Linked DNA regions of Schizosaccharomyces pombe. The protein of the gene in region 1 interacts with the protein of each later gene in a biochemical or structural test. Each region holds a gene or a part of one and is shown in the gene's direction. Other genes may lie near its edges. The genes, in order: hsk1, dfp1, mcm2 and hst4.

Region 1 (7,665 bases):
GATATAGACTAATTGTTTAATCGCGACATGGCCTACTAAAAATATTAAGTGCGCCAGTCGTATACCTATTTCTTCCTCATCTTTTAATGTTTCTTCTTCTGGAGAATCATCTAAATCTTCGTCCATTGCATGATCATCGTTACTGGTAGTATTCTCATGATTGGAAGGTTTGAAGAGTTGTTTCGTCAAAAGCAAAATAATGTTGGTACAAAGTTCGTCAGGATGTTTGGCAACTGCATATATAGCCTCAATAGCTTGCTCTTCTAACCCAAACCACTCTTCAGAGAACGATGGTCGAAGTAAAAGCATACATAATTTTTGACAAAGCGTATGCGAATTTGGAAAATTAATATTAGAAGAACCAGACGCATCTTTGCCAATACGTTTAATCGCTATACATGTGTACCTTGCAAGAACTAAATCCTCCAAACCAGGGGGACCAAGTCCTATTTGAATAAGATGATCCAAGCCCTGCATGACAACATCGGTATTGCCTAATGCTAGCATTCCAATTACTATGATGGATCCTCTACGTTGTGTTCGAGATATATCCTTCTTTTGATAACTGTATACTTGCCATAGTTTTGTTATGACTAGATGTGAAAAATACCCATCTTTCATCAAAATGCAAAGCATCTGTTCAAGTGATGTAAGCTCAGCAAGGCTAGCATCATATGTTAATGAAATAAGATTTCTCGCAATATAGTTTGCGGCTTCGTTGGTACCAGAGTTCGGAGGTGGCTCAAAAAATAATGTTTTATAACATGACAATACATGGTTCTGAATGTTGTTCCCTTCGTCGGAGGTTCCTTTTACCCAAATTAAATGAATCATTTTTTTTATATATAATTTTGAAGACGAAATTCCAAAAGAATTGCAAAAAACAAAGAAATCCATTGACTCAATTACCTCGCTCTTATTTTTAGCAAACAACAACTGGCTTATTATTTTTGCTCCCGCTTCCACAATGTCTATATATTGGAGTGCTTCTAAATAAAACCGTTTCGTTAAATTCACTTTGACTATTTCCTCAGCAGGAACAGAATCGACATATTCGCTTAGAGAATTTTCCAAGTGACTTTCTCCTTCATGTGACTCATCATCTTGGATCATAGTAGCATCCTCTAATAAGTTTTCATCGACTTCAAGCTCTGAATCTACCACCTTTTCTTGTTGCTTTGGTTGTAAAGAATTAAGCTGTTCCTCGATGATAGATAATCCTTTCTCCCAAATATTTCTGGTTAGTAAGCCATTGTGCATAACTGAAAAAGGATGGGTAGTTAAAAGTTTAGAAAATAACTTAATTGCATTTCGGCGGACATGACTTGACCGATCTTGCAAACATCTGATCACGAGTTCCGCGATTTCTTGACGTTTTCTGGGATACTTAATTGGTAAATCAAATATTTTGATAAAGACGTGAAGTACTTTAGTACGACAGTAAGGGCTTATATCTAGTAATCGCTCACTGAGAAGATCCATTAAGCTTTGAACAGTTGCTGGCACTGACTCTGACATTTCATTTTGAGCCTCATCATGAATTTGATCAATGACCACATTAGCAAGTACTTCTATGATAGCGCATCTCAGAGTATATGATTCCGAATCAAGCAGCTTAACTAATTGAGTAAGCTGTTTCAAACATAAGTTTGGAATAAGTGAAGAAAGACGGACAAGAAACAAAGCGACTTGCTTGGGACCTTTAACATCGTTATCATTAAATTCTAGAGAGCACAATGTTCGAATAATTCCTTCAGCCAAGGTAACGGAATTAAACTGAACGGTAACAATATGAACAAGATCAGCAGCATACTCAGATAAATGCTCAAAGTATTGTAAATTTTGAATAATATTTGTCTCCGCTGCAGTGGTATGGTTATGGAATTGAACAGCAAGCCCGATAATATTAAATAAACGAGAACGGAAAGAAGCATTTTTTATGTTAATTTCACTTTCCATTAACGTGTATATTGGTTTTAGGAAAAGTGAAAGAAACATGTCTCTTTCCGAAGAAGTAGTCCATACACGAGATAATTTTTTTTGAAATAATGTTATGATTGCATCTAACAAAGCATTTACATGTGAGATACCATTCCAGTTAGAGTTAGTAGTTGGATTTTTTTTTCTTCCCTTAACAGTATTAGTGGATGACCGAATAACTGAAAGTTGATTTGAGGAAGAAAGGGAATTGACCGTGAGCTGAAATGCAATGCCTGTAGTTTCTAAATTCGTTTGAGGTACAGTAAAATCAGTAGCATTTGCGGAAATCATATCTTCAAGAATAGCGGATTCAGAGCTGATATTACTCGTGAGTAAATCATATACTTTATTCCTTACAGAGGAAGAGAGGTCAGCAAAGTGTCTAAACCATTATTGTTAGTTTGGTAAAATTGATATATAGTAAACCAAATGGCTTCCTTCTATTTGAATAACACAAAATAACAACTACTTACGAACATATAGCAAAGAGTTTTTCCAAGCAATCCTCGTCGAAACAAGAACTCGTTCCTAATAAAAGGGTATCAATGACGTCTAATTTTTCATTGTTAGTTATTGTGGAATCGATCATTTTCAATTTTTTTAAAAACCCAAATGTCCATACCGTTAACCACGGCTGTCAATCCAGCATTTTCACATTCAGCATAAATCGAGTCCAAGTCGGAATTTTCTTCATCATGAATGTATTTCTTTAATCTAGAAAGAAGATCCAACGACATTGAGGCCACTGAAAGCCGAATCTTTCTATGTTACGAATGAAATAAAAGATGGATTTGGCGTACTACATTCTAGTAGTCCTTGTAAACAATAACCCCACCTATATGTCCTGTGTGGGGGTCCATTTATACTTTCTTACTAACAAAAAAGAGCTACGGTTAGTCAAAATATAAAATAGGAGCTAGACTTAATTGTTGCTAACCACTTTAAGGATATAGAACGTGCTTTTATTAACTCATTTGTTTACATTAAAAAATAATATTTTAATTAACTTTTATTGAGCGTGCCACGTAAAAGCTATTGTTCTTTTTAGTACTTCTAATTAAATGTTTTGAAAAGAATTTAATATATTTTTTGAATAACGTTAGTTGTAAATTCTTTCTTGAGCTGTATTTCTGATATAAAAACTTATAATTTATTTTGGCGCATGTATCATTTTCAAGGTGATTTTCAAAATTATTATGAATGCAAATTTTGACGAGGTAAGCATTTGTGCTGTTTTTAGAATTTTAAAGTAATACACAATAAACTAAACAGAAAACCTATCGTAGTTTAACTAGGAATAAATTTCAAATTCAGGATAATTTTTTTATTTATTTTTAAATAACAGAAAAAAAAAACGTGTTTGAATACCATGGTTAATCATATTTACTCTCAATGTCCAATAAATAGTCAATTCTAGTTGTTTATGGTGGTTATTAACAATAACAAGAGCCCAAAGGATTTATGTTTTTTAAAGCAAGTCCTAAATTTAAAAAAAGATAAAGGACATGAAATCTTAATCTTTTCCATAAGTATACAAATATTATAGCAGAGTACTTTTTTTATTAAACAAAAGTTGGATTAAAAATGTATTTTTCTTGTTTGGAAGTAACAATGTCCCTCATTAGAAGAGCATTTTGCTTAACAATGTACAACTGGTGTTGAACCTGGAATCTGCAAATTCTTATATTCATGGAATGAGTTTGTGTTACACATTTTAAAAACTTGATTTTTTTGAATCTTAGTATTCGTTCGCGTGTTCGGTTTGAAGGTTTAAAATACGTGAAAATTTGTTTTTTCTTGGTTCCTTCCCTTGGCAGCATTTTACCATTTAATTGACGACTCTTTTAATTTTTTTTAAGTTATTATTTGGTTTAAAAATATATGAGTTAAACCGTTAACATGGCAGAGGCCCATATCACACTATCACCTAAAGTAACTCATGAACAACAAACAGATATTGATTCTGAATGTGAAATCACTGAGGTGGACGATGAAAATGTAAACGAAAACAAATCTCAAGAAATGATTCAAGATATCCCTGCACGAGACCGCGAAGAAATTGAAAATATCACAAGGACGTTCGTAGAGCTACAAGAGAACTATCGGCTAATTGAAAAAATTGGAGAAGGTAAACTTCAATTACCGTTTTTAGTACTGTTTTGAAACTATCTTGCTAATTCGTTTAGGTACGTTCTCCAGTGTATATAAAGCGGAAGACCTACATTATGGGAGGTATATTAATGATTGGGACATTCAAAGTGAAGTGTTAAAGGAATCTTCTTTTGGAAAAGAAAAAATTCCTGTTAATGAAGACAGCCGGAAACCGAAGTACGTTGCTATAAAAAAAATTTACGCGACAAGTAGTCCTGCTAGAATATACAATGAATTAGAAATCCTATATTTATTAAGGGGATCGTCGGTAATAGCCCCGCTAATAACTGCTTTAAGAAATGAAGATCAGGTACTCGTAGTTTTACCCTACTACGAGCATACTGACTTTCGTCAATATTATAGCACTTTTTCCTATCGCGATATGAGCATTTATTTTCGATGCCTTTTTCAAGCTATGCAGCAAACTCAGACTTTGGGAATCATTCATAGAGACATTAAGCCTAGTAACTTTCTCTTCGATGTTCGTACCAAGCATGGTGTCTTAGTTGACTTTGGATTAGCAGAGCGTTATGATGGAAGACAACAATCACATTCTTGCCGGTGCACTAATTCAAATGCGGCCGAATTAGCACATGATTTTTCGATTGCGCAGGAAACATCTCTTGGATACATAAAAAACGATACTCGACCAAGCAAACGGGCCAATAGAGCCGGAACTCGAGGATTTCGAGCACCTGAAGTATTGTTTAAATGCTCATCTCAATCACCCAAAGTTGATATTTGGTCTGCTGGGGTTATTTTGTTATCTTTCCTTACTAAACGTTTCCCCATGTTTAATTCAAAGGACGACGTGGATGCACTCATGGAGATAGCATGTATATTTGGAAAAAGCGAAATGCGCCAATGTGCTGCTTTACACGGTAAGAACGATCTAATGTCCCTTACGGAAGTGTTTGTGTTGATTTTTTTCGCTAACCTGCCAGGTTGTACGTTTGAGACAAATGTAAGCACGCTTACAGAAAAAAGAGTAAACTTTAGGAAACTTATTTTGTGGGCCAGTTGTGGTTCAGCCAGTATATACAAAGAAAAGCTTCGTCATAAACCAAGCCAAGAAGAGCGATTGTGCCTGGATTTTTTAGAGAAATGTCTTGAACTTGACTGTAACAAAAGGATTTCAGCTGAGGAAGCATTGGATCACGATTTCTTGTATCTCGATAATTTAGCTTACGAAAAGAAAGATGACGATACAGCTTTTGATAATAGCTTTGGAGAAACCTCTTTCGAGAAAGACGAAGACTTAACTGCTAAGCACTTATCCCATATCCTTGATTTTAAAGAGCAGGAAGAAACAGATGAACCTACTTCTTTATCAAAGCGGAAGCGAAGTATTGATGAAATTTTACCAAATGATGCTTTGCAGGATGGAGCTTGAGAAGATTTGCTGGCAATTTCTCATCAAGCAATCACTTATATTTGTGCATACATTTTCATTTACAGTATAAGCATTACTGTAATCATTGGGTATTAAAGTGAAAGCATTATTGTATGTCTATACATCGAAAATACCCTATGGAATTTTTGGGGTGCATTTTCAGTTACAAACATTAATCCATAATTAATTTTACCATAGCATAACGAACACATATCAGCAGGTGAGGCTTTTTCACTTACTGACTTAATTGAAATAAAATCTCTATACACTATTTGACCAGAGAATAACACTACAGATTGATCATACAACAATTATATTCCATCAAAGTATAGACGGATAAACGAATCAAACAAAATTAATTTTATTAAGCCACTAAGCAATCACAGGATGTTCTTAGGCAATGAGCTCAACGACACCACCAGCTTGCTTGATCTTCTCTTCAGCACGACGAGAGACATAACGTGTTTGAATGATGACGGGAGTATCAGGCAGACGACCCTTACCCAAAACCTTACCGTAACCAGATTGTAAGACATTAATAACGGGGGCAACCTCCGTGTTTTTACCAAGATACTTTTCACGAGTTTCGTTGGGAACCAAGGTCCAAAGACGATCCAAATTGACAGTAGGACGCCACAAAGGATTCTTCATGAGGTGGAATCGACGCATACCAACCTTACCAAAGTAACCAGGGTGATACTTATCAAAGTGACTACGGAGGTGTTGCAAACCACCGGCCTTACCACGACCACCGGGATGCTTCCTGTGCTTACCAATACGACCATGGCCAGCTGAGACGTGTCCACGAAGCTTACGAGTCTTAGAAGTATGAGTAGGCATCTCGTTTCTTCGCCTTAATAGAGTGGGTAGTCTGAAGCAAAAAGATGTGTACAGTTTTTTGAGAGAATAAAAAAAAGCAGTCACATTTATAGTTGAAAGTGTAGCGTTTTACGAATTTAGCCGAATTTGAAAGTTGCAATAAAACAGCTAATAATTAAATATGGAATAGTAATTTTTTAAATATTTTAGGTTTTTAAATTCCTAAATTTGTTTTGTTGCGTGTCTAATTTTCACGGGCATCAGTGCACTTTCCTATATTGTTCGAATGTAAACAATACTTGTCGGCATATATCTTTGTCAAATAATTGTCGCCAGATTGTTAATGTATTGATCGTTTGACAATTGAATTAAATATGTTTGAGGTTGTCCAAAAGCCATGAATATGAGTACCATCATATATATACCTTAATGAATTTAGAGGGTATGTATTTAATTGTCTATATGAAAATGTAGTGAATTTTTGAAAATTAGAGATGAGATGTGTGTGCATCCTTGATTAAGCATCGTAAATTTCTGTCGTTCTTTTATACAAATTTTAAAGAGTGCAATCGTTCGGATCATGTCAAAATTCAAAAAACTAAGACTGTAACATACAAATCTGCGAGCCTAATTGGCGATAATTAGAAAATGTCTTGAATAAGGTAATAAGTTGGATTTTAATAATTTTACTTCACCCAAGAATCGTATTATACTTTTACGCTCTAGGATTATATATAGATAAAAAAACGTTTAACAGTCAATTGGCAAAGATACCACGGTTTAGTAACGAAACTAATTATGCTGAGTTCAAAGAAACTATAGCAACGTATTTTACTTGTTTGTTTAAAAAACTAATTACTACAGTACTCAAAAGTTAGGGTCTCATCCTGACAGTCAAGCAATTGTGAAGCATCGTCGGCATTCTCCTAACAACACTACTTCATGGATGTGAAATCCAAGCATGGACACATAAAGTCCAACCCAGAAGAATCGCTTCTATTTAGGAATTCTGTGTCGAAAAATATAGCACAATTGTCTTCAATTAATTATGCAGACCGGAATGTTCAAGCGGCACTAGAACAATTGTCTGAACGAAAATTCAAAAATGAAAGAGAAGCACGAAAGCAACTTCCATTTGAAGTGTTTTCTGATTTAATATGGACGAATGGGTCAATCATCAAAGAGCTGTCAGAGCTTTCAAGTGTATGTTAAATACTAATCCATCAAATATTTCTGCAACGCACTAACTGTATAGCAAACTTTGTCTGTCCAGAGTCAACTTTTGAAAGTTAAAAATTCAATTGATAGCTATAAAAATGAGT
Region 2 (7,945 bases), on another chromosome or scaffold:
GAGGTTATAATCAATGCATTATATTATAACCCATCGATGTCTCTTGGGGTACTTGAAATGCATCAGTGGACTTTACCATTCTTTGCGTTATGGTTTGAAAATATACCTTCGTTTACTCGTGTGCATGATAAAAAGTTGAGTTTGGTAGCTATTTTATCGGTAATTTCACTGGGAGCTCAACAAGTTGCTGTTGCTATCCAAGACTCTTGGGGTAATATAATGAAAGTCATGATAACTCTTTTAAATACACTACCTGAAGCATTAGCTGCTCGCGCGGAATTAGAAAAAGAGTATGACGGTGAAACATTTAATTTATCTGGCTCTGGTTGGAATGATGGCATCGATTGGGAAGCCGATGATGATGAGGGTGTCGATGACTTTGCCGTCGAATATGGGGGACCTGATTTGGGTGGAGAAATCTCGGCTGATGTGGTTGACGATTTTGACGAATTTGAGCATTTCCAAGGAAATTACTTGTTGGACGAGGATCCTCTTTTCCATACTTTGTTAGATCAAGTTGATCCATTTTCACTTTTCCAAGAGTTTATGGTTCATTTAAAGGACAACAGCCCTGTCACATTACAAGATCTTGTCAAAAATTTGGAAGCATCCGAGCAGCAATCCTTACAGAGATTGGTAACTGAAAAACCCTCTACCCTTGCTGTCGCTTCCGATAAAACATGAGCCTGTTTGGCGCTCTAAGCCTGTCCAATTTTGGTAATAAAATATAAAAATATAAAACAAGCATTTTCTACACAGTGGTAATAAGCCAAACTGACATATTTGAACGGCTCTTTTTAAATGGGAAATCAAACTCTACGGGTTTGTAAAAATAATTTCTTCAATGAGATACGACCCGGAATTATGGCTTGGGAAAAATGGATGGAGGGTTTGTCTAAAGGGAAGGCTAAGAAAATTATTGTTGTATCGGTTTACAGTTCGGTGAAAACAAACGCAGAGGTGTGTTTCTTTTATAAGAATTTTGGAACGCCAATTGATTAAATGAAATTTAAAATCATAATATACCAGTTAATAAATATGAGAAGTTTTAAAATCGATTAATACTAGTTCATTTGCTTTTACTTTATGCGAATTGACAAACGCAAGTTGATGAGAAAATGAAATAGAAATATATTTTTCTTGAGGAAATAAGCATAAAGTTAAGTATCCACGATTTAGTAGTATAGGGAAAGTCGGTGTTTATGAATGGTATATTAGATGTACGTTGAATTAAGCAGCTAACTAAATTGATAACGGCTAGTTTAGGGGTTGGATAATATGATAAACGGCTTTTACAAACTAAATTTGATAGACAGCCCCCCATTAACGATGTTGTTATATTGATAAAGCTAAGATTTGCAAGATTTATCTTTAAAGTTATTTTAAAAAGATATCCTTCAAATTTATGATATTATTAAAAATATCATAAATATCTTTAAGAGCCAGCGTTATTATACTATTGCTTCAAACTGTAATGATATTGTTGTTATAGCACAACGCTATCATATAACAGCATTCCAAAGCCGTAACAACAGTACATTTAATCGCGGTTTTTGGGTGAAGTTAAGACCTAAGATATAGGAATACATTTTTATTAATAATATGGGACTACCCCCTAAAACTATTGTTTTAGACAATGGGGCATACCATATAAAAGCTGGATTTGCAGGTGGAAAAGTTGTGTAAGAAGAAGTGCATCACGTCAATAAATTTCATGTATCTTTTACTTTTTTCAGCTAACGATAGTTTTTAGTGAAATTCCGAATTGTTTGACGAGATCAAAAGATGGAAACAGATTATTTTTGGGGAATGAATTGGCCAACTGTAACGACTTTACAACTTTACAATTTCGCAGGGCGCATGAAAAGGTACAGCATTTATGAGGGAGTATTATTTACGAACAAAATAAATACAAAGATTATGTTTACTAATACTAGTAGGGGTATTTGGTCCATTGGAGCACAGAAACAGCCGTATGGGACTTGGTAATGCGCAATGTAGGTGTGATGGAACCTAGCATGGCAGACTATTCTTTACTGCTTACACAGCCCGTATTTACAATGCCTTCCATAGAACACAATACTATACAACTCGTGTTTGAGGAATTCCAATTCGATGCTTACCTCCCTTGCACCCCAGCTGAGCTAATTCCTTGGGATCATGGAAGTTTCACAATGAATCAAGAAGATGCGTATACTGGTCAACATGGAGAATGCGTTTTGGTAATTGACTCTGGATATAGCTTTACACACATAATTCCTGTGATTGATTTCTCTGTTCAAGAACAAGCGGTAAAGCGAGTTGATGTGGGAGGGAAATTACTTACGAATTATTTAAAAGAAGTCATCTCATACCGGAAGTACAATATGATGGAAGAAACATACATTGTTAATGAAATTAAAGAGTCCGTTTGTTATGTGTCTCAAAACTTCAAGGAGGACATGGAGATATGTCACGAAAAACCACGGTCAAAATTGGAAATTTGTTATGCTTTGCCCGATTACAGCACTGGAAAACATGGATATATTGTTAGAGATATTAATCAAAAAATAGAGCAACAAGTTTTGAATCTTTCAAATGAGAGATTCATGATACCAGAATTATTATTTTCCCCATCTGATATCGAAATACGTGAGGCTGGGATTCCAGAGGCGGTCATGCAAAGTGTCACCCACTTTCCTGAAAATATACAGGCAATGTTGCTTGAAAATGTTGTTACAATAGGAGGAAACTGTAAATTTCCCGGATTTCATAAAAGACTATCATCTGAATTACGGTCGCTGGCACCAGCTAATTGGGAAGTTAAAGTTTTTGAACCTTCAGATCCTATTTGCTTTCCATGGAAAAAGGCATCTCATATGCCGTTGGAGCACTGGAATGCGAATAAAATAACTCGTTCTGAGTACTCAGAACATGGAGCAAACATAATGACACGAAAAAGGAGAATATAATAGATCACCATTTTAAAACTCAATAATGTGGGTTAAATTTCTATCTTCACAAAATTCTCAAGGCGAGCTGATAATTCGCATCTTAAGAAATTGGTTTATTACATTAAGGCTACAGCAATATAAAACGAAAAATATGCATGCATTAAGAATAAAATCTTTTTATATTAATTAACGAATCATTCTATCTCTTGATCAACCACTAAAACAACAGCTAAATAACTATATCTTTATTATTGTCGCCAGGATAATTCATACCTAAAAAGCGTTAGCGAAATGAAAGATATTATAAAAAAGATAGGAATGAAAATCAGTATACAAGTATAAAAATTTAACCACATAGTTGTGTCTTCAAGACTAATCGATTTGTAAAGCATCATATGTAACATTCTATCTCTTCAAGTGTTTATACTTACATATTATTAATGTGCCTGAAAAACAAGATTGAAAAAAAAGAAAAATTTCAGCACTTCTTCACTACTGTTTCAAGTGCATTTTATATGTACAGTGCAGTTTCAGGTTGACAGTATAAGAGTTAAAGCAACCTTGAGTTAGAGCAGTCACGGTATACTACTTTAATTAGAATGTAGCGCGTTGCGTTGCAATGTAGTCGTGTCGCGTCTGTTTACATTTTGGATAGAAAGAGCTTTTCGTGAAATTTTGTTGCTTCTGTTGGATAAATTGTTCTTTTTCTCAAGTTAATCATATAATTCAGTAAAGGAAAACTGTGTAATAAGAAGAATCGAGATCCCAAATTATTTCTGTTGAGCCTTGTTCATGGGCTACATATATTTTCCCTCACATTTTCAACAGTAAAGCCTTAAATATAAAAGTAAAAGTTGATTAAATGATATAAATTTACTTTAATAATATAAATATGTACAGATATTTTATATTTTCTTCATAGATGTTACCCAATTGAATCGTTACTTTAAGCTGTAAAAGTTGGCCAAATTGCAGTAATCTCGAGTTGACCACCACCAAACACTAATATTGTCTTTTGCGAAAGTAAACAAAGAGAATTAATCCCAAGCTAGGCTCTCATTAAGAGGAAAAATCAAATACACTAATTTAGTAAGGTGGCTGTACCACATGAACCTAGGAAGATGTCCTCTAGCTCCTCGATCTGCGAATATAGTACTCCCGAAACATGATGCCGTATCCAAACAAAAGGAATATCGAATTGAGGAAAAGACAAACGAAGCACAAAGGGAGGAAATTATAACTTGGAAAGACAACAGGGAAGATGAAGGAGAAGTGAAAACCGATTTTGAGGTTGTTAATAACGAAAATATTATCACAACCACCCCTAAACATCAAACTGTTATTACCCCTAAATCATATCGCAAGTCCGTAAAACGGATTAAACATGATGCTCCTCAAAATGAGGATATTCCTGTCATGAAGGGGCTGGCCCCCATTAATGCTGATACTGAGTCGAAGGCGGAATCCATGGCAGCTGGGAAAGTTTTGGGATCTAAGAATTCCTCTCAAAAGGCTCGGTTACAGGAATGGAAAAGACAGTACAAGAAGGCATTTCCTCATTTCCGTTTTTATTTGGATGGATGCGACCCAAGTGTTGCTCATCGAGTGAAAAAACAAATTCAGCAATTGGGTGGACATGTTGAGACGTTCTTCTCAGGAAATGTTACTCATGTTGCAACAGTTCGGGCTATCCAAGATGTTTCGGTTAAGTATGCTAAACAGGATGTAATCACTAAGGCTAGGCAACTGAACATGAAGATTTGGTCTATGGAAAAGCTTTGCAACCGCGTGTTAAAAACTTTAATGGAGAATGATCAATGCACAACCAACGCACCCACCAAACAGGGGAATGACTTGAGTTATTTGCTTTACGTAGAAAAGGTGCAAGGAACGAACGAACGCGATTTATCTGTTCCTAGACAGGACTTTGTGCATTTTCGTGGACCCTACCTTTACGTGCATGACATAGCTAACATTTACAAACCTATACTCTTACGTGAATGGCAAAAACCGCTTCCCGACAGGGACGTTCCTTGGCCGACCTTTCGTGCTACTAGTATTGGCCGGTGTCCATTTGTACCTGAAACAAAGTATCGTCTCAGTACTTCCAAGTCCTTGGTTGCTAAAAATGACCAGCAATTATTGCAACGACAGAGTCAAGAACCATCGCTGATTCTTCGTGCGAATTCGATGAAAGCTTCCTTGCCTGATATATCCAACACCGGGATCTCTGGAATGAACACAAATACCACTTATAACACCAATATCAACAACACCCCTCAAACTGCCATTTCTGGAATTACCCAAGATACATCCCCTTCTATAAGGACAAATTGTCATCACTGTTTGGATGACGGTATGCAAGCATCGGGTATAGTACAGTCAAACTTGACTTCTGCTGCAATGTCCAATAATTCTGCTATTCGCTCCGGTAGTGCTGCTAGTGTTCCGGTGGTAACAATTAATGGGAGAGATATCGCAGAGTTGAAAAAGCGTATTATTCAGCAAAAGTCTGGCATGATTGGCAAGGACTACTCTTATAAAGCGATGCTTCACAACACGAGTCAACGGAAAATTCGTGTAGATGCGAAACCTGGCTATTGTGAAAATTGTCGGGAGAAATTTGATAATTTTGAATCTCATATCCGCAGCAGTAGGCATCGAAGGTTTGCCGAGAATAACGATAATTTTAAAGACCTTGATGAACTGTTTGCCCTTGTTCAACGTCCCTTAAGGCCAGATTGAGAAAATAGCCCGTGTCTTCAAATTTTGGCACATTCACTTTTCACTAATATACGATCGTGCATGCGTATTGTGTACACCTCCTTATGCAGTTTCTCGGGATTTAATTACATCTATGTATGTGCTATTTACCTTTCTTTTTTTATCTTCCTCTTCATTTTACATGTATACTTCTAATAGTTGTTATATCAAAAAGTTTCACGGTTTATTTTCTGATTTACCAGTATCCCAAGTTATCTATTGAACAAAGTGTTATTCATTAATAGTTTATTGGGGAAGTTAGTCATCGTTGCTTATGAATTACTACCTGGCTGAGCAAAATGATTCTTGCTTAATAAAGGACATTTTATAACGTTTTAGATTTTTTAGAACCGGTTACTTGTCTGACAACTCGTCTACTTTCACTCTTAATAGCGAGAAAAAAATCTTATCAATTGTATATTTAAATAACATATCATAAATGAATTACAATCAGTTAATTTAAATTTGCTTTTTAATCGATTAATTAACAAATTCAGGCGTACGTGCAAGGATACGTCTGAGATTTTTTTTTTTTAAATTTCGGATTACTCATAATATATCATGAGTTCTCATTTATTTTTCTGACTGTAGAAATAAATAGCATTTTTTATTTTATAGACATATTTTCTTAATTGCTGAAAGTATAAAATCAGCGTTTTACTGTACCCGGCTCTCCGCCCTGTATATGCGTTTAAAGCGTGTTAACGATGTGTGCTAGTTTTCGTCGTCTGCGCGTGCGAAATCACAGGTAATCTTACCATAAATTAACCTGCCCTAAACAGACACCAGTAGTCAACGCTACTTCGCTTTCTTTGTTTGCGATTTACTCTATTTTGTTACTGTAGCGTCAACTTTTTACGCAGGCTATTTACTGTACTTAGTAGTAACCTAAACACTTTAAATTTGGTGAACGAACGACGTTGTATAAAAAAGTAAATAAAACGAGGTTGAGTTAAGCGGGGAAGAACGTTTGGAAGCTTATATATTTTTGTTTTCTCACGTAAAAATCTTTATTGTATACACTTTCGGGACCTTGCCTAATGGAACATCTCTCTAATCTTGAGCAACCAACAACGATGGACTCATATGATTTTCAGAAACTGACTAACGATGAAAACTTGCAAGGAACTGAATCTCAGGTTCCTTCTGGTAGCAAAAGTGCCAGCACAAATGGACTATTAAGCGCTGCTTCATCTGCTGCTGGTTCCTCGTTTGGATTGACTCCTTCTGCTATATTACAGCAAAAGCATGAAAATGCTCAGCAAGGAAAGAAGCAAAACAATTCGAAATCATTTTCCAAAAAACCTGCCATTGACGTCCATTCTGAGGATGCATTTCCTACACTTCTTTCTAAAACTGGTCCCAGCAAGCCAAGGATTGTTTCGTGGGTCAGAAAGACAGCTTCCAATACTAGCGTTGCTGGTTCTGATTCAGTTTCCAGAGACAAGATTCCGTTCTCTGCTAGCTCTCGTGCATCTTCTACAAAATCAACTCTTTCTTCGGTAAAAGAAACTGATTTTGTTACGGAAACTTTGATTTTAAGCCCTGATAATCAAGCTCCTCGTATGTCTTTCGTGGGAAAGCCTAATTCTGTTGCTGAAATTGTTCGTACTGTCATGCATCAGACCTCTACACGTATTAATGTTTCTACTGCATCAAAAACTAAGAATACCACGTTTTTAATTCAAGGAAAGACTTCTGCTGTCAAAGCGGCTAGACGCCAAATTTTGAAATTGATTGGTCGTCGTGAAACGAAAACTATGCCCTGTCCTGTTTTTGTTGTTGGGGCTATAATTGGTACTAATGGACAAAACTTAAAGTCTATTATGGATCGCACTTCAACACGCATTCAAATTCCCAAGCGTAACAACACCGCAAACGAGTCCTCTGATGATGCCAAGAAACCTGAAAAGGAGGAAAATTCAGCTGCTTCTACCCTCGACGATTTGGAACCCCAATATGAAATGACTACGATTACTATTGAGGGCGATTTCGAAGGTGTTGAACTTGCCCAAAAGGATATTGAAGCTATCATCAACGAAAGAACCAGTAACACTACTGTTCGTATCAGTCACATTTCTACTGAGTTATACAGTCTTCTTAGGGGCCCAGACGGTAAAAATATTAAAGAGCTTGAAGAGGGTAGGGATTTGAAGGTTCAAATTCCTTTTGCATATTTAGATCCTTCTGCCCCTGTCAATCCCATTGTTTTGTCTGGTGAAAAATCAGCTGTACGCGAATGTGCTTTG
Region 3 (8,523 bases), 2.0 Mb from region 1:
GACTCATCATTTCAGAGGCACGGCCTGCAAGTAAGGGATCGTAAAGCTTAGCAGCTCGTTCTGCAAATTCTTCATATAGTTGCACAAGTCGAGGACAGTTGTTTTCATTAGGAAGTAGGTTTTCGTCTGACCAATTTCTCGTAAAAATGACAGGTAAACCCATCTTACGCTTTGACTCAGGATACAATCCGGAAAAAACATGTTCTAAAGACTCCAAGGCTCGCACCATTGGAGTCGCACGCATATAAACATCAGCGTAGTTATTCAATTCATCAGGTAAGAATTTCAATTGTTTGACATAACGTTCTCGAAGATACTCACCAAGTGTTCTGGTAGTAACACGCCCAAAATCAGTCAATTCACCATGAATGCAAACACCACTTGGGGAATTGTCTGAAGTTGGTGCTGCAAGAGACGTGTCAACTGGTGACTCAACCTTCCTTTCAAAACCCAACACAGACCATTCCTTTTCCCCTTTAATTTGCGCAAAAAACCTCCTTGCATTATTACAAAGCTTCCAATCCTTAGGGATACCGGCGGAACCAAGTCTTTCCTTCACGGGAGCACGTTCACCATGTCGAAATATGACTTGTAAATATTTCAGTTGCAGCTGTTTTGGATAATCGACTCCGGGAACTGAATCCGGGAATTTAACAGAAGCTGAAGACATTTGAGACATGGCGGCTAGGAAGTGGTTGATGATGCTGGATAAGAGCTGCTGTCAACTAAGGTCTCAATGCTTGAACATCATCGCAAAGCTCATATAAAATATGAATTACTGAATATTAACGAAACGACACTATTTGAAAATTAGTTTTGTTTATGAAAAGAAAACAATAAAATATAAAGTTAATTCAATCTTAAAAAACTGTTAGGAAAAAATTAAAATGAAAGTCATTATGAGATATAACAAAAAAAAAATACCCAGACAGGGTTTCTCTTTAGCTTTCTCAATCAAAAATAAAAGATAAAAGACGCAACCACCAAAACTATAGATAGGTTTAAAAATTTTAATGAGTGCAGTTAAAATAGGAGAGACAAGAAAGCTAGAAGTTCAATATATTAATTATTGTTCAAATATACATACAAATTTGTCATCATCATTAAAATCATGTATACCAACAAGCCCCAGTAAGCCTCTCAAATTAACCATCTCTGTTAAGAAAATCAATTAAACCATTTTTGATAGAGAAATGATTACGTTTAACCATAAGCACATAGAAAATATCTCTGGTTTCACCAGTATAAACAGCGTTTCACAAAAAGCATCACCAGATTAAGTATAACCTACATGTTTTGACGTTAAATTATACGCCAAAAAAGAAGGGAATTCAAAAAAGTTATTAACGCTACCGTAAATTTTTACTGATTCGAGATCGCTCCAAGAAAAAATTTGATATATCTTCCTTGGTGACAACCCTATTTTCACGAGCAAATGGAGTGAGGAAGTCCGTTAGCTCAGATTTTAAGCGATTATACGCATAAACGCTTTCGTTAGCTTGTACACGAGGAAGTCTGTCCAAAATACGAAGGACATCATTCATTGTGCTAGATATGACTTGCTCAATCATTTCTCCAGATTCACTGGGATCCTCATTCATCTCACTGATTCCATCCTCAGAATCCTCAGGAGGTTCGTAAATAGGTTCTTCTGCCACCAACATTGGCATCTCCAAATTACGCAAACTGATGCAAGATTCACAAGGGCACAAATTTTCCCTAAAGTTTTCTGAAAGAAATAGAGGCGCTCGTTCTGTACCAGCTATGCTTTCATGCTTCTGGTTTAAAAGATGATCGCGGTATTTTTCTGAACATTCTGAACACACCAACCATTCAAAAGTCTCAGCATCTGGGATTGCAATTCCTTTATTAGTTTTCTGCAGACACTTTTCGTGAAACCAATCTTCGCAAAGGATGCATTGAAACATAGTTCCTTCCTCTGTCTCTGGATTATACACCGTATCACATATGCAAAATCGCCCTTCGAAATTATGATTATAATCATTTTCTGAGCCACATTCATCAACGGATTTCCGTAAATTACAAGGTATGGAGTGGGTTCTTGTGGTGCCACAATCACATCGAAAATGTCGTTTATTGAATAGGTCCACAAGATCATGGTCAGCATGGCAGCTAATACTGCAGCTATAGCAAACAGCATTTAAGCTTCCGCTAGCTTTTTGACATGTCAAACAAGCGTATAAAGGTTGCTTCAAATAGCCCATCGAATAAGTGCACGTGTCAAAGCTGTAAGGCAAAACTTCTCGTGCCTCCCTTTCAAGCTCCCTTTGCTGTTCAACATATTGCTTAACCGTTAATTCATGAGCCGTTTCCTCCATAAGTTATTAAATGCAACTAAACGTTGGCAAATAGACGGCGTAAACAATTGCGAAGAATGTCTTTTGAATAATTCAAAACACTAACTCATTACGCTCCTCTATTTCATTTACAGGTATCACTACATTTTCCAATACAATTTAACAATATACTGTAGCATTTCTTATTCTTTCATCCTGCAATACTCTAGCTATTCAATGCATTAAAATAGTTAGAAACAACATCTTTAAAGTATTTGAGTCCAAAGATGGATTCTTTTCGGAAAAGGGGTCGCCGCGATTCTGAAAGTTTACCTTTTGAATCAGAAAATTCTTCTCTCGGTGCTACACCTCTTTCTTTACCTCCTTCTTCACCTCCTCCAGAATTCTCTGATGAAGCTGCAGAAGCTCTCGTGGAGGAGGATATTGAGGATCTGGACGGAGAAGCTTTAGATGTAGAGGATGAAGAAGGTGAAGATTTGTTCGGAGAAGGAATGGAACGGTAAGTTTTATAGCTATGCTTGAGACGTGTCTTGTCAATGTTGTGTATACTAAGTGTTGCCATCAATATATAAATTACATACTATTTCTTCTCCTTCTTGTAAATAAATATATTTATTGGATTCCTAGGTTGCGGTTATATTGACAGAACAAATCTTGATTTTCAAAAGAGTAGTTTCACATTTCGCGTCAAATAAGGTACTTTTTTCTAACTGTATAGTGATTATCAACAAAATTTGGAGCTAGATCGTTATGACATTGAAGAACTAGATGACGATAACGATCTTGAAGAATTAGATATCGGGGCCCGAAGAGCTGTTGATGCCAGGTTGAGACGACGTGATATTGAGCTCGATGCTGCTGCAGGTAGAACAAAACCTGCTGCATTTTTACAAGATGAAGATGATGATTTGGACTCCAATCTTGGCACAGGCTTCACTCGTCATCGACATCGAATTTACGACGAATATTCACCTAATGTTGGCGCATTGGACGAATCTGGTGAACTTCCTCTTGAATCAATTGCCGACGTAAAGGCCGATAGTATTGCCGAATGGGTTACTCTTGATCCTGTTCGGCGTACAATTGCTCGAGAATTCAAAAATTTCCTTCTTGAATATACAGATGAAAATGGCACCTCTGTATACGGTAACCGTATTCGCACATTGGGTGAGGTTAATGCTGAGTCGTTGATGGTTAATTATGCCCATCTTGGTGAATCTAAACCCATTTTGGCTTATTTCTTGGCCAATGCGCCTGCACCTATTTTTCGCATATTTGATCGTGTTGCTTTGGAAGCCACTCTTTTGCATTATCCAGACTATGAAAGAATACACTCTGATATTCATGTTCGTATCACTAATCTTCCTACTTGTTTTACTTTACGCGATCTACGACAATCCCATCTTAATTGCCTTGTACGGGTATCTGGTGTCGTAACTAGGCGCACTGGGCTTTTTCCACAATTAAAATACATTCGGTTTACATGTACCAAATGTGGTGCTACTTTGGGTCCATTTTTTCAAGACTCTAGCGTTGAAGTAAAAATTTCTTTCTGTCACAACTGTTCCAGCCGTGGTCCGTTTGTAATCAACTCTGAACGGACTGTATATAATAACTATCAAAGGATCACTTTACAAGAATCACCTGGCACCGTCCCCTCAGGTAGACTGCCTCGACACCGTGAAGTTATTCTTTTAGCGGACTTGGTTGATGTTGCCAAACCAGGCGAAGAGATTGATGTTACTGGCATATACCGCAATAACTTCGATGCTAGTCTGAATACCAAAAACGGGTTTCCTGTCTTCGCTACAATTATAGAAGCAAATCACATATCGCAACTTGACGGCAGTGGTAATACTGATGATGATTTCTCTTTAAGTCGGCTTACTGATGATGAGGAAAGGGAAATTCGGGCATTAGCAAAGTCGCCTGATATTCACAACAGAATTATTGCATCGATGGCGCCTTCTATTTATGGACATCGCTCTATCAAAACTGCTATTGCTGCTGCTTTATTCGGTGGTGTCCCCAAAAATATTAACGGTAAGCATAAAATTAGAGGTGATATCAATGTTTTATTGTTGGGAGATCCAGGAACCGCCAAATCTCAATTTCTTAAGTATGTTGAAAAAACGGCACATAGGGCTGTCTTCGCCACAGGTCAGGGTGCCAGTGCTGTTGGTCTAACTGCATCCGTCCGTAAAGACCCCATTACGAATGAATGGACTTTGGAAGGGGGTGCTTTGGTTTTAGCAGATAAAGGTGTTTGTTTGATTGACGAGTTCGATAAAATGAATGATCAGGATCGTACTTCTATTCACGAAGCCATGGAACAACAAAGTATTTCTATTTCTAAGGCGGGTATTGTGACTACCTTGCAGGCGAGGTGCACTATTATTGCTGCCGCTAATCCCATCGGTGGACGTTATAACACTACAATTCCTTTTAATCAAAATGTTGAGCTGACCGAACCTATTTTATCTCGTTTTGACATCCTTCAGGTCGTCAAAGACACGGTTAATCCTGAAATTGATGAACAGCTAGCTAATTTTGTTGTATCAAGTCATATTCGATCTCATCCTGCATTTGATCCGAATATGGATGTCTTGAAGAAAGTCCCTACTGAGACTGGTATTGATGCCAAACCCATTCCCCAAGATCTTCTTCGTAAATATATCCATTTCGCTCGTGAAAAAGTTTTTCCTCGATTACAGCAAATGGATGAAGAAAAGATTTCGAGACTTTATAGCGATATGAGACGCGAGTCACTGGCTACTGGAAGTTATCCTATTACTGTGCGTCATCTGGAGTCTGCTATCCGTTTAAGTGAAGCATTTGCAAAAATGCAGCTCAGTGAGTTTGTGCGCCCTTCACATATAGACAAAGCCATTCAAGTGATTATTGATTCCTTTGTGAATGCCCAAAAAATGAGTGTTAAACGAAGTTTGTCAAGAACATTTGCTAAATATCTTATTTAATTTTTTGACACAATCAGTTTATGGAGTCCAGTGATTTTGATTTCCCCGTTCTTTGACCCTCCTTTTGTTACTGCATCTGTTGCATATATCTATCCTTTAATAATTTGCAATCAAAATTTGCTTTACATTTTTATACCTATCTTTACATTCATTCTTTCTTAGTTTTCAAAATGTCAATCTAAATTATTTAGGTTAATAACACTTGTTTTGAATATCATTATTGACTATTCGCTATAGATACTAGGTGTATAGATACTTTCTCCGCTGTATCAATATTATTAGCTGTTTCATTAAAGAGCCACTGCCCATGTGAAATGACATTTTTTGAAACAGCTGAGGTTTTTTACATATAGAGCTAAATTGTCCATTTCCAAATTTAAAGGGAAGTCAACTTTTGACAATCGGAAATGCATCCAGTTCATATCTGATGTTCCTGAAGAATCTCAAATTTCACACTTTATTATCTAAAATTATTTATATCGTGTTACTCTTTCAAATCAGTCTTTTTATTTGGTATATATTTTGCCCTACCCTTACCTACTTATATTCGTACATCCACCAAGTAAACTTGACACAAAAACAAAATGGCCTATCCCGGGCAGTTTGGAAATTACGGTAATCCTGAGACTTATAGGCAAAATGTTGCTGGCAATATTGCTTCATATGGGGGCCCTGAAATTGACACTCAGTTAGCTGCTCAAATGAACGCACAAATGTATATACAGCAAGGTAGTGCAATGGCTCCACAACCCCGACGCGCTAGAAGACATAAAGATGCCCATGCATATGATATGTCATTGACAGATGCTGAACCAGCTTTGGCTCCTGTCATGTCGCCTGCTATCCCGCCTTCCATGAATTATCCTACGCCAAGTACACCCTCAGTACTTCCAGAATCTTTTTCTAATGATACAAATCTCCTCGATCCTGCAGCATTACCTTCGGCTCCTGAAGTTCGCTATGAAGATCAGCAATTGTTTAAAAACCAAATATTCAATACCATGGAAAAGGGTTCTCCACCTATGTCCACTACAGATTTTGTTGGGTATGAACAAGGAAATTCATCTTCCAAATTCGTTCAGTTTACCAGTTACGCGATTCCAGCTACCAATGATGTTTGCAATGCTTCCGGAATCCCCTTGGGAATGATTGTTCAACCGTTCGCAGAGTTACGTCCTGATGAAGCACCCGTACCCGTTGTAGATAACACAAATTCAAATCCCCCACGTTGCAAAAAATGTCGTGGCTACATCAATCCTTTTATCCAATTCACGATGGCAAGTAGTAAATGGACTTGCAATCTTTGCGGTTCAGAAAATAGTTTTAATGATGATGGTTTTAATCCTTTAGTCGGTAGTCAGCATGATGGAGTGGAGTCTCGTCCAGAATTAAATGTTGGCACTATTGATTTTAAAGTGGGGAAGGACTATTGGATAAAGGAGGATCCGCCAAAGCCGGCTCGCTTTGTTTTTATGATTGATGTTTCCTATGAAGCTTCCTCCAAAGGACTTCCCAAGGTTGCAGCTGAAGCTATTCGGAATATTCTCTACGGACCGGTACCTCTTGATCCTAATGTCAAAATTGCTATTGTCTGCTTTGATCGAAGCGTTAATTTCTTCAATTTATCTCCTAATTTAGAGCAACCCCATATGTTAGCTGCTTCTGATTTAGAGAATCCCTTTGTTCCATTTTCTTCCGGTCTTTTTGTTGATCCCATTGCTTCAAAAGTTGTCATTGAGAGATTGCTGGACAGTTTCCCTGCAATTTTTCAAGATGTTAAAATTCCCGAACCAGTCGTTGGCAATGCACTGGAAGTAGTAAAACTCCTTCTTAAGGAAACAGGTGGAAAAGCTTTTGTTTTTGTTAGTGCTCTTCCTACGATGGGATTGGGGAAATTAAGGCATCGTGAAGATCAAAGATTATATGGGACTTCTGATGAAAAGAATCTTTGGAACACCCAAGACAAGTGGTATACATCTCTTGCCGATGAATATGTTACTGCTGGTATAGGTGTTGATATTTTCTTTACTGCTACTGCTTATGTTGATGTTGCTACTGTTGGAAGTGTTGCGACCTTAAGTGGTGGGCAGATTTACCACTATAGTAATTTTGTTGCTGATCGTGATGGATCTCGACTTAAACAAGATTTATTTAGAAGTGTTACCAGAGAGCAAGGCTATCGAGTGATGTTGAAGACACGATGCTCAAATGGTCTGCGTGTCTCCAAATATTTAGGCAACTTCTTGCAACGAACTCCACAAGATATCGAATTTGGCAGTCTTGATGCTGATAAAAGTGTAACAGTTCTGTTTTCCTATGATGGAAAATTAAATGGAGCTTTGGACGCTCACTTTCAAACTGCGGTTTTATATACCACTCCTTCTGGTGAGAGAAGAGTAAGGGTTGTTAACTATTGCTGTGCTGTCACTTCTAAAAGCTACGATACGATTTCTCTTGCCATTGTTGAACCTATCGTTGCAGTTTTAGCTAAAATTGCATCGACAAATATTGCAGCGGGTTCTTTAAAAGATACATCGGTTAGGTTAGTGGAGGGTGTCGTGAAAATCTTATCTAGTTATCGGAAGGTTGCTGCTAATCGTTTGACTCCAGGCCAACTGGTTCTTCCAAAGAACTTGGTGTTATTACCTATTTTGATTCTTGCAGTTTTGAAATCATCTGCTATCCGAAGTGGAAGCATTCATAGTGATATTCGTGTTTCACAGCTCAGAGAGGTGAGAGCAGCTCCTATTCAAGAGTTGATGCTAAATCTTTATCCAAACATTTATGCACTACATCAATTACAGCCCACTGATTGTCTTCCTGACCCTGAAAATACGGGTTGTCTACCTATCAATATGCCACTTTGCGTTCGAGCATCTCGAAAATTCATTGAGGATGGTGGTGCTTTTTTAATCGTCACTGGCCAAAAGTCTTACTTATGGTTTCATCAAAGAACCTCTCCTCTTTTACTTCAAGATCTATTAGGTGTTGAGAGTCTTGAGGATATTGATTCTCTGAAAGCGCTTGAGCTTCCGACATTGGACACAGTTCTTTCTGTACAAGTTCGCAATCTCCTTTCTTCTCTTAGAATGCAATTTCCCAGCATGGCTCTTCACCCACAAATCGTACGCCAGGGTTTAGATGGTAGTGAAGGTGAAATATTCTCAACATTAGTAGAGGATAACACTCGCGAAGGATTTGGATACCTAGACTTTTTAACGAAAATT
Region 4 (7,461 bases), on another chromosome or scaffold:
TCACTGTTTTTGAGTCGATGAGCTTCATCGATAGCAAGATATTGCCAGCGAATATTGTTGAGTTCTTGCTTATCTTTCAATATATACTCATAGGTCGTAAGTAGAATGTTAAATTTAAGCTTGCGAGAATTCGTAGAAAGGTAGAATTCATACTCTCTAATATTAGCACGAGATTCCGTATTACCTGTATAGCAAATACTATTCAAATCAGGTGTCCAATTGGCCAATGTTTCTTGCCAAGCCGGAACAGTGGAAAGCGGTACGACAATAAGGAAAGGACCGTGTTGTTTTAAAGAATGGACTAAATAAGATAAAAAGCACACAGTTTGCACGGTTTTACCCAAACCCATTTCATCTGCTAAAATACCATTTTCATTCCGGTGCCATAAATATGCCATCCAGTTTATACCAGTAAGTTGAAAATCACGGATTTCCCCCCCTTTAATGTAAGATGGTTGCTTTTCTAACTTGCGGTACGGGGGACGGGTGTTATAGAAAACACCTTTATAAGGGAGATACGGACTGTTTTCACGTTGCAAGAATTGATAAACTTCATTTGGTGCCATAGAATAAATTACGTCGGCATCTTCCCATGTGCAATTATCATAAGGAAGCTGCCTCCACTTTACAAAGTATTCTGTTTTTCCTTCTTCGTTAGTTTCAGAAGCTACTATGCGTTCGACAATTTTATACTCTTCAAAAAGCATATTTTTACGTTCGCGTTCAATATCCAGAGCTTCGATATCTTCAAAGGTTGTAGTTGGATCTTCACGAATCTCGCGATCATAAATGATGTTTTGCTTTATATAATTGTCGACTTTTTTGTAGCCCCTCACAGAAGAAAGCGTAGAATAATCTTCCCAAGTATTATGAAGATGGGAAACTTCCTGCCATTTAATTAAATACTGATAGCTAGACTTCGGGTCATCGTCTTGTGCATCCGCTCGCTTTCGGTGATTTAAAACGAAATCAATAATAGGCTCATATTCCTCTTCGACCTGTTCTTCTACTTCCTCTTCTTCGTCCTCGAAGTCGTCGTAAAATTCTTGTTCATTGTAGTTGACGCTTTTACCTTTTGAAGATCGCAATGAAGTACGGATTTCGGTTCCGGAAGCAGAGTTAATACTGAATCTATGTCTCTTATCATATGCGTCTTCATCATCGCTAGCCACAGACTTTTTTTGCTTTGGTGCAGGTTTGCTCTTTCGTTTTTTAGGAATCGGAATTTCATGCTCGTCAATTTCAGTATAAGAGAAATCACGATAAACGGGTCGTTTAGCCCTTGAAGAACGTCTTGTACCATCTACTCTAACATCGTCAGAGTTTTGCGCATCGTCAATTTTAGGGGTAGACAAAGCAGAAGATACAACTGTGCTATTAGCAGTGCTGGTTACGATTTCAGAATCATCAAAGGCAGAAGACGATAAAGATTGCTGCGAAGCGAAAGAATTTTCATGATTTAACAGGCCATTCATGCTAGGTAGAGAATTTGTTGTATTTCCAAACTGAGGATCAGTTACTGCAGAGCCATTTAAAGTAGACTCTTGAACGCTCGTAGGATGATTTTTTAAATCATAATTCGAATGTTCAGGCTCCATTCTTGTTACTCCAGAAAATTTATATAATGTTAAATGTTGAGAACGTCCACAAAGTAGGCGCTCCTTTGCAGACTCTCTTTTAAAAGCTTAAAATGCTTTTTTTTAAATATATATCTGGATATTAACAGTGAAGCAACAAAGGATTAATAGGAATAAGCAGTATGCCTATAAGGCTATTAATTGAAATTACTATGTTGTTGGCAGAAATTAATAGTGCAAAAATATGCAACACTATAAATGAAATGCCAGGCAATGCAGGTGATTTTGGTATCAAATTACTTCTCCAGAGTCCCTTTTTATTAATAAAATTTACCTTTTGAGAAGGATTCACTATTTTTACTCATGCAATTTCCACTCTCAATTTTTGCGAAAATGCAAGACCTTTACAAACAAAAAAATCCTTTGCCATAAAATGTACGAGCTATTCTCATTCACTCCATGGAAATTAAGTTAGCTTACAATTTTCATTTCCGGTTCGTATTTCCGAGCAAGTCTGCAGATTTTATTTCATTTTCAAATTAACTGTGCAAAACGTGAAGGCAAATTCGTATTTCATAAAATGCTTCAGTTCGCATGCTTTTATTAAATTTAAAGATCATTAATTTCAAAAAATTTCTATATATTTTATTGTTTACTATCCCATAACGTTAAATAGTTTACACAAAAACGTCGAAACTTTTCACATAAACGTATGCTTCTTTGTTTCAATTGTTCATGAAAACATAATGTATTTATTTACTTCTTTAATTACAATTGAGAGGGGAATCGAGACAGAGAAAACAATAGTTTCTGAAAGAAATAAACTAATTAAAAATTTGACCGATTGGTTTTACTAAATTTTTTTAACTGCATGGATATTTTACCAAAGATTCAAAGATATATTTATTGGTTTTGTTATTTTTTTGAGAATTTTATGAAAGACTTCACCTTCCAACTTTTTCAATTAAATGTCAAGGAAAAATACTGTACTTAAAACTCTTGAAAGTTTTCCCAATATTTAAGAAAATGGAACTTCAATTGTTTTTTTAAATTTTTGCAATCCCTTTTTGTTTTAATATTTTTATTACCAGTTTCTGTATATATTTATTTATTTCATTTGACTATTTAGACAATTTATATATTGATAGAAGGAGAAATCTCAGAAGGATTATTGAAGACTTAATTTTATTCTTTTTATTAATGTCAGCATGAAAGCTGATTTTCTAGTCTGAACATTTTATTAAATGGGTAAAAACAAAAAAATCAGTACTCTAAATAAACATTGGTTCAACGGCATTTTTAAAAGTGAATAGAGAAAAAAATTGCGATTACTGTTATACAAAGACATGGCGAAATTGAGTCTTTCAAGCGATATAATTGTCCTTCAACGGCCTTTCGAAACGTACGTAGACACAACCGCCTAACCGTCAATCACAACTTAATTCCTCAACCATTCCATTTTAGGAAGAAGTCGAAGAGTTCAATGATTTTAATATATTTTAATTAATGCACTCAACTTTTTGGATTTAAAAAATTCCAAATTTACGTAGCTTAGTATGAAAGTGGAGGAGCACGTCCCTCTAATACAGGAGTCGAGGAAGAGAAAATGCCAATCTTCTGAAAATGCTTCGAAAAGGCAGCAATTACTTTCCAAGCTTCCACTTAGACTTCATACAGGCAATGAAAATGTCGATTTATCTCCTTTAGTTTCTGCCATTCGCAAGGCAAAGCGCATAGTCGTTGTTACTGGTATGTTGCTTATTTATGGTTTTCCTTCTTTTATTTTAACTTTTCACTTAAAAAAAAAGTGGGATTAAAAAAAAAATTAAATATTATAATCGTACAAAGGCTCATTTACTAATACGTTTAAACAGGTGCTGGAATTTCTTGTGATGCTGGAATTCCTGATTTCCGTTCCTCTGAGGGTCTTTTCTCCTCCCTTCGTGCGGAGTATAAATTGAACTGCTCCGGGAAGGAATTGTTTGATGGATCTGTTTACAGAGATCTTAAGAGTGTTAACATCTTTCACGCAATGATTAGAAAGCTACATATGCTTTCTAATAATGCACGCCCCACTGATTTCCATTTATTTTTATCTCAACTAGCCCAAGAATCTAAGCTGTTACGTTTATACACACAAAATATTGATTTTTTAGAAACCAGACTCGAGGGCCTTCAAACATGTATTCCATTGCCGCAGTCTGCCCCTTGGCCTACCACGATTCCTCTTCACGGGACACTGGAAGTTGTAAGTTGCACAAGGTGCAGCTTTTTGAAAAAATTTAATCCAGATATATTTGATAGAAATGGTGTTACTGTTTGCCCTGACTGTAAAACCGAGAACGAGGTTCGTCGTATAGCAGGAAAAAGATCAGTTATCGAGGGTTGCCTTCGTCCTCGGATTGTTTTGTACAATGAGATACATCCGGATTCCGAATCTATTGGTTCGGTCTGTTCACAAGATTTAAAGTCCCGCCCTGACTGTCTAATTGTTGCTGGTACTTCTTGTAAAATCCCTGGTGTCAAAAGAATTATCAAGGAAATGAGCAACTGTGTGCATAAACAGAAGGGAAATGTTATTTGGTTGAATTATGACGAACCTACGAAAGATTTTTTGAACTTATGCGACCTGGTTGTACAAGGAGACCTTCAAATTGCTATTAGACGTCTGAAGCCTTTATTAGATGCTCCAAGTTGGAAACTCAAGTCCCATTCTGCCAAAAGAACTTCAAAACAAAAATCTTCCGAACAAACAAAGATTACTTCTTCCACTAAAATTACGAAAGCTATTGGCTTGAACACGAAAAGCAATGATAGTTCTAAGAAAGATAACACTTCTTTTCAGTTGCACCAAGTGCTCAATAGTATTGAAATACCCAAGGTGGAAATTAAACAAGAAGTTGAATATGCAACCCCTTCTCCGCTTTAACATTTAGCTTCAATAAACCATGTTAAAAATATCAATTTATCCTTCTTACCCCAAATGAGGTTTAAATAATGCCTGTAATAATAGTAGTGAACCTTCTCTGAATCCGAAAAGCGATACAAATTCCGAAAAACGTTTGTCTAATTGATTAAGCAACTTTGATGTGATGCTTACAATTTTTTCATTTTGATTCTTTAGTATATAAGAGATGCAGTAATTAGGTTGTACAAAACCAAGATCATCAAATTTTATCTCATAAAGTATTGTAATTTTGTAAAAGGAATTTTGAACATAGAAACATTGAGCGTCCATGTTTGCTGATGCCACTTTTTTCATATGCTTTGATAAATAAAACCACGTATTGCAGCGATATGAGTAATGGTGGGCAAATAATGAGAACGCTCTCAAAAGAGCTACTATATCGAGACATTGTATTGCAGAGTCCGAAAAACTACTGAGCTCTTTTCTAGCAAAATGCGGGATTTTATAAGTAATAAATAAAAGAGCATAATCGATTGTTCGGACCTTAATTTCTAGTAAAAATTTGAAGCTTGGGAGATATTCTATATCTCCTTTAAGAGAATGATGAATGATTTTCTCGGATTCCGCTTCAAATTCATGTTGTGTGAAACGAATGGATGATATGGACGAATTCAATTTAACATGTTTTTTGGGTTCAGCAGATGGCATAACTTGCTTTGTTTTAGGATTATCAGGGTTTTCGGTATTATAAATTACTACAGAGGAATCAATCTCTAATAATGATTTTATAAATCCGCTTAAAAACGAATCGTCGCGTTGGTTAATTGCATTTCGTCTAACCCTCACCTCTTTCTCAAGAAGCAGGGTTTGATGTACAAGGTTACTCCTTTTGCGCAAAAGATCCATTTTTCTGTCAGTGTCTACTCTTCCGTTGCTAGATTTGGATTGTCCACTGTTTTCATTAGGCCTCGCTCGTGAATCTACGCGAGGCATGCCATTTAAAGTAGTATTTGGGCTTCGGTGAGCAACAGTACGTTTTGTCTTTTTTTGTTGCGAATCACTATCATCACTACTGCTAGATCCTTCTTGTTGAGAAATTTGACTATATCGCCTACCGGACATTTTGATATTTATAGTCGTACGCGATAATAGTATCAGTATTACTACAATTAACAATGCTCGTGCAAAAGTGTTTTAATACTTTTTATGCAACATTAATGAAAAATCCAAAATCCTCAAATGGTGGAACAAATGCATATAGTATATAGTCATGGTCAAAGCAACACTTAAACCTAGAAGTGAATCTTAGTAGCTACCACTTTGAAATCACTACTTCATTTTTACGACTGAAATCCATATTACTCTACTAAAAATAATATTTGTAATATTTTATCATTTTCATTGTGAAATGGAGAAATTTACTCGCTGGAGAGGTAAGAATATGCAATACTTTAAATGCTTGATTGTTCACATAAATGTTGTTTAAATAGAACGCAAAAAAAAATAAAAGCAAAAAATAGAAGCCAATTATTTTGTATTATGATTCTTGACTTTAAGATCGAGTGTTTGTCAATTTCTCTTAACAAAATGACTTTAATGCAGATTCATTAACCCTTTTAGATCCGGGAACGGGCATAGCTCCATTCCATCCTATAAATACAGAAACTCCTAGTGGATTTAATTTTAAATGGATCCTTATAGTTGTTGTTATGATATTGCGAGTTCCTCTTTGCATCATTTCTGTAACATTATGGTTTCTCTGGTCTTGTTTTTTGAAACCTATACTATCTATACAGCCGAAACTTAGTTTTTTTATTGATTCGAGTCTCTCCCGTTTACTCCTTTTATGTTTTGGATGTCTTAAATTATCAAAGTCAACTTCAGGGTATGCCCATTAAGTCCCTCGTGCATCTTACATTTTTTATTTTTCAGAAACTAATCATGAGTAGAAGTTTCGTTCAGGGTGATAGCCTTCAACCGGGTGATATCTTGGCAGTGAATCATTCAAGCCCTTTGGATGTACTTGTGTTGTCTTGTTTATATAACTGTACTTTTGCTGTGTGTGACTCAAAAACTTCGAATGTCTCAATTATTAGTGCTCAGGCTTATTTTTGGTCGTGTTTCTTTAGCCCTTCGAAACTAAAGATTACTGATGCTAAACCTCTTGCTAAAGTTGCTGCAAAGGCATCAAAAATAGGAACTGTCGTAATTCTATTTCCAGAGGTAAGTGAAATATTACATATACTTGTGTTTTCCTAAGAAAACAAAGGGCTGATCATTTTAGGGTGTTTGTACAAATGGAAGAGCTTTATGTCAGTTTACACCGTGCTTTGATTCTGCTAAGGAAACAGATAGGATTTTCCCTTTGTATATAAAGTATCTTCCTCCCTGTGTTACCCTACCGGTTCCTTCCCTTTTGAGTTTTGCACGTTCCGTTTTGTTGACAGTTTCGTTCGAAATTCGCATTCGCTTTTCAGCAGAACCTCTGATTCCCAGGAATTGCACTGATGTAACAGAATCAGCGCAAGAAGTTCTCTCCAAATTAGGTCGCAGCCGTGTTGTTAAACTTGGCAAATCTGATAAGCTTAGCTATCTTGATGCCCGTTCCAAAAAACACGTATAGAACCTTGGTAGATTTGCATGATAATCCTCAAGTCTGTTTTATTTTATATGTGTAGCACTAAAAACGCAAGGGAACAAACCAAATATGAAATGATACAGTACTTTTATTAACATAATAAATAATCACATTGAAAACTCTAAAAAAACAGATACCTAAATTGAAAATGAGTGTAATTATGAAGTATTTTTCATGGTAGGAAAATTACCATACCTCCTTAATTAATTTACAATTCATAGGTTTTTGCCAATTTTTTAATTCTTTTTGGGCTTCCTCTTTGGAAAGTTTCCCATATTTCATAGCTACATCCATTAACGCCTTTTCTATCTCACTTACGAAGGAATTTCCGGAACCAC

Evidence for each region.
Region 2: the proteins of hsk1 (region 1) and dfp1 form a complex in vitro, tested with the Schizosaccharomyces pombe proteins (5 studies listed by BioGRID, with this or other methods).
Region 3: of the proteins of hsk1 (region 1) and mcm2, one has a biochemical effect on the other in vitro, tested with the Schizosaccharomyces pombe proteins (3 studies listed by BioGRID).
Region 4: the proteins of hsk1 (region 1) and hst4 form a complex in vitro, tested with the Schizosaccharomyces pombe proteins (one study listed by BioGRID).

The regions. Positions count from the first base shown.
Region 1 is NC_003423.3:3,195,190-3,202,854, reverse strand, and holds hsk1 (Dbf4(Dfp1)-dependent protein kinase Hsk1), read left to right. Parts: upstream 1-3,653; 5' UTR 3,654-3,879; coding exon 3,880-4,108; exon of another isoform or gene 4,109-4,166; coding exon 4,167-5,012; exon of another isoform or gene 5,013-5,075; coding exon 5,076-5,524; 3' UTR 5,525-5,795; downstream 5,796-7,665. Other genes in the region: condensin complex non-SMC subunit Cnd1, read right to left, coding at 1-2,362, 2,454-2,532, 2,603-2,717; rpl2801 (60S ribosomal protein uL15), read right to left, coding at 5,918-6,364; COG complex subunit Cog6, read left to right, coding at 7,286-7,546, 7,599-7,665. UniProt on the Schizosaccharomyces pombe protein: Required for G1/S transition. Plays a role in DNA replication checkpoint signaling through regulating rad3 and cds1. Involved in the maintenance of mitotic chromosome structures during S phase through regulating the function of rad21.
Region 2 is NC_003421.2:1,210,406-1,218,350, forward strand, and holds dfp1 (Hsk1-Dfp1 kinase complex regulatory subunit Dfp1), read left to right. Parts: upstream 1-3,920; 5' UTR 3,921-4,040; coding exon 4,041-5,678; 3' UTR 5,679-6,033; downstream 6,034-7,945. Other genes in the region: nmd5 (karyopherin), read left to right, coding at 1-684; Swr1 actin-like protein Arp6, read left to right, coding at 1,603-1,682, 1,754-1,868, 1,941-2,951; vgl1 (vigilin), read left to right, coding at 6,737-7,945. UniProt on the Schizosaccharomyces pombe protein: Activates hsk1 kinase and is essential for G1/S transition. Has a role in S-phase checkpoint control induced by replication fork blocks after nucleotide deprivation and DNA damage.
Region 3 is NC_003423.3:1,188,170-1,196,692, reverse strand, and holds mcm2 (MCM complex subunit Mcm2), read left to right. Parts: upstream 1-2,550; 5' UTR 2,551-2,584; coding exon 2,585-2,817; exon of another isoform or gene 2,818-3,036; coding exon 3,037-5,296; 3' UTR 5,297-5,485; downstream 5,486-8,523. Other genes in the region: SPOM_SPBC4.06 (acid phosphatase), read right to left, coding at 1-679; ubiquitin protein ligase E3 component mlo2, read right to left, coding at 1,350-2,339; COPII-coated vesicle-associated protein Sfb3, read left to right, coding at 5,881-8,523. UniProt on the Schizosaccharomyces pombe protein: Acts as a component of the mcm2-7 complex (mcm complex) which is the putative replicative helicase essential for 'once per cell cycle' DNA replication initiation and elongation in eukaryotic cells.
Region 4 is NC_003424.3:2,189,154-2,196,614, reverse strand, and holds hst4 (histone deacetylase, Sirtuin family, NAD-dependent Hst4), read left to right. Parts: upstream 1-2,999; 5' UTR 3,000-3,133; coding exon 3,134-3,326; exon of another isoform or gene 3,327-3,451; coding exon 3,452-4,506; 3' UTR 4,507-4,551; downstream 4,552-7,461. Other genes in the region: CENP-A chaperone, CHD family Hrp1, read right to left, coding at 1-1,598; CENP-P family protein Fta2, read right to left, coding at 4,552-5,607; vps66 (acyltransferase), read left to right, coding at 5,894-5,918, 6,106-6,370, 6,435-6,708, 6,770-7,108; SPOM_SPAC1783.01 (methionine synthase reductase), read right to left, coding at 7,310-7,461. UniProt on the Schizosaccharomyces pombe protein: NAD-dependent histone deacetylase, which contributes to both telomeric and centromeric silencing, proper cell cycle progression, DNA damage control, recombination, and genomic maintenance.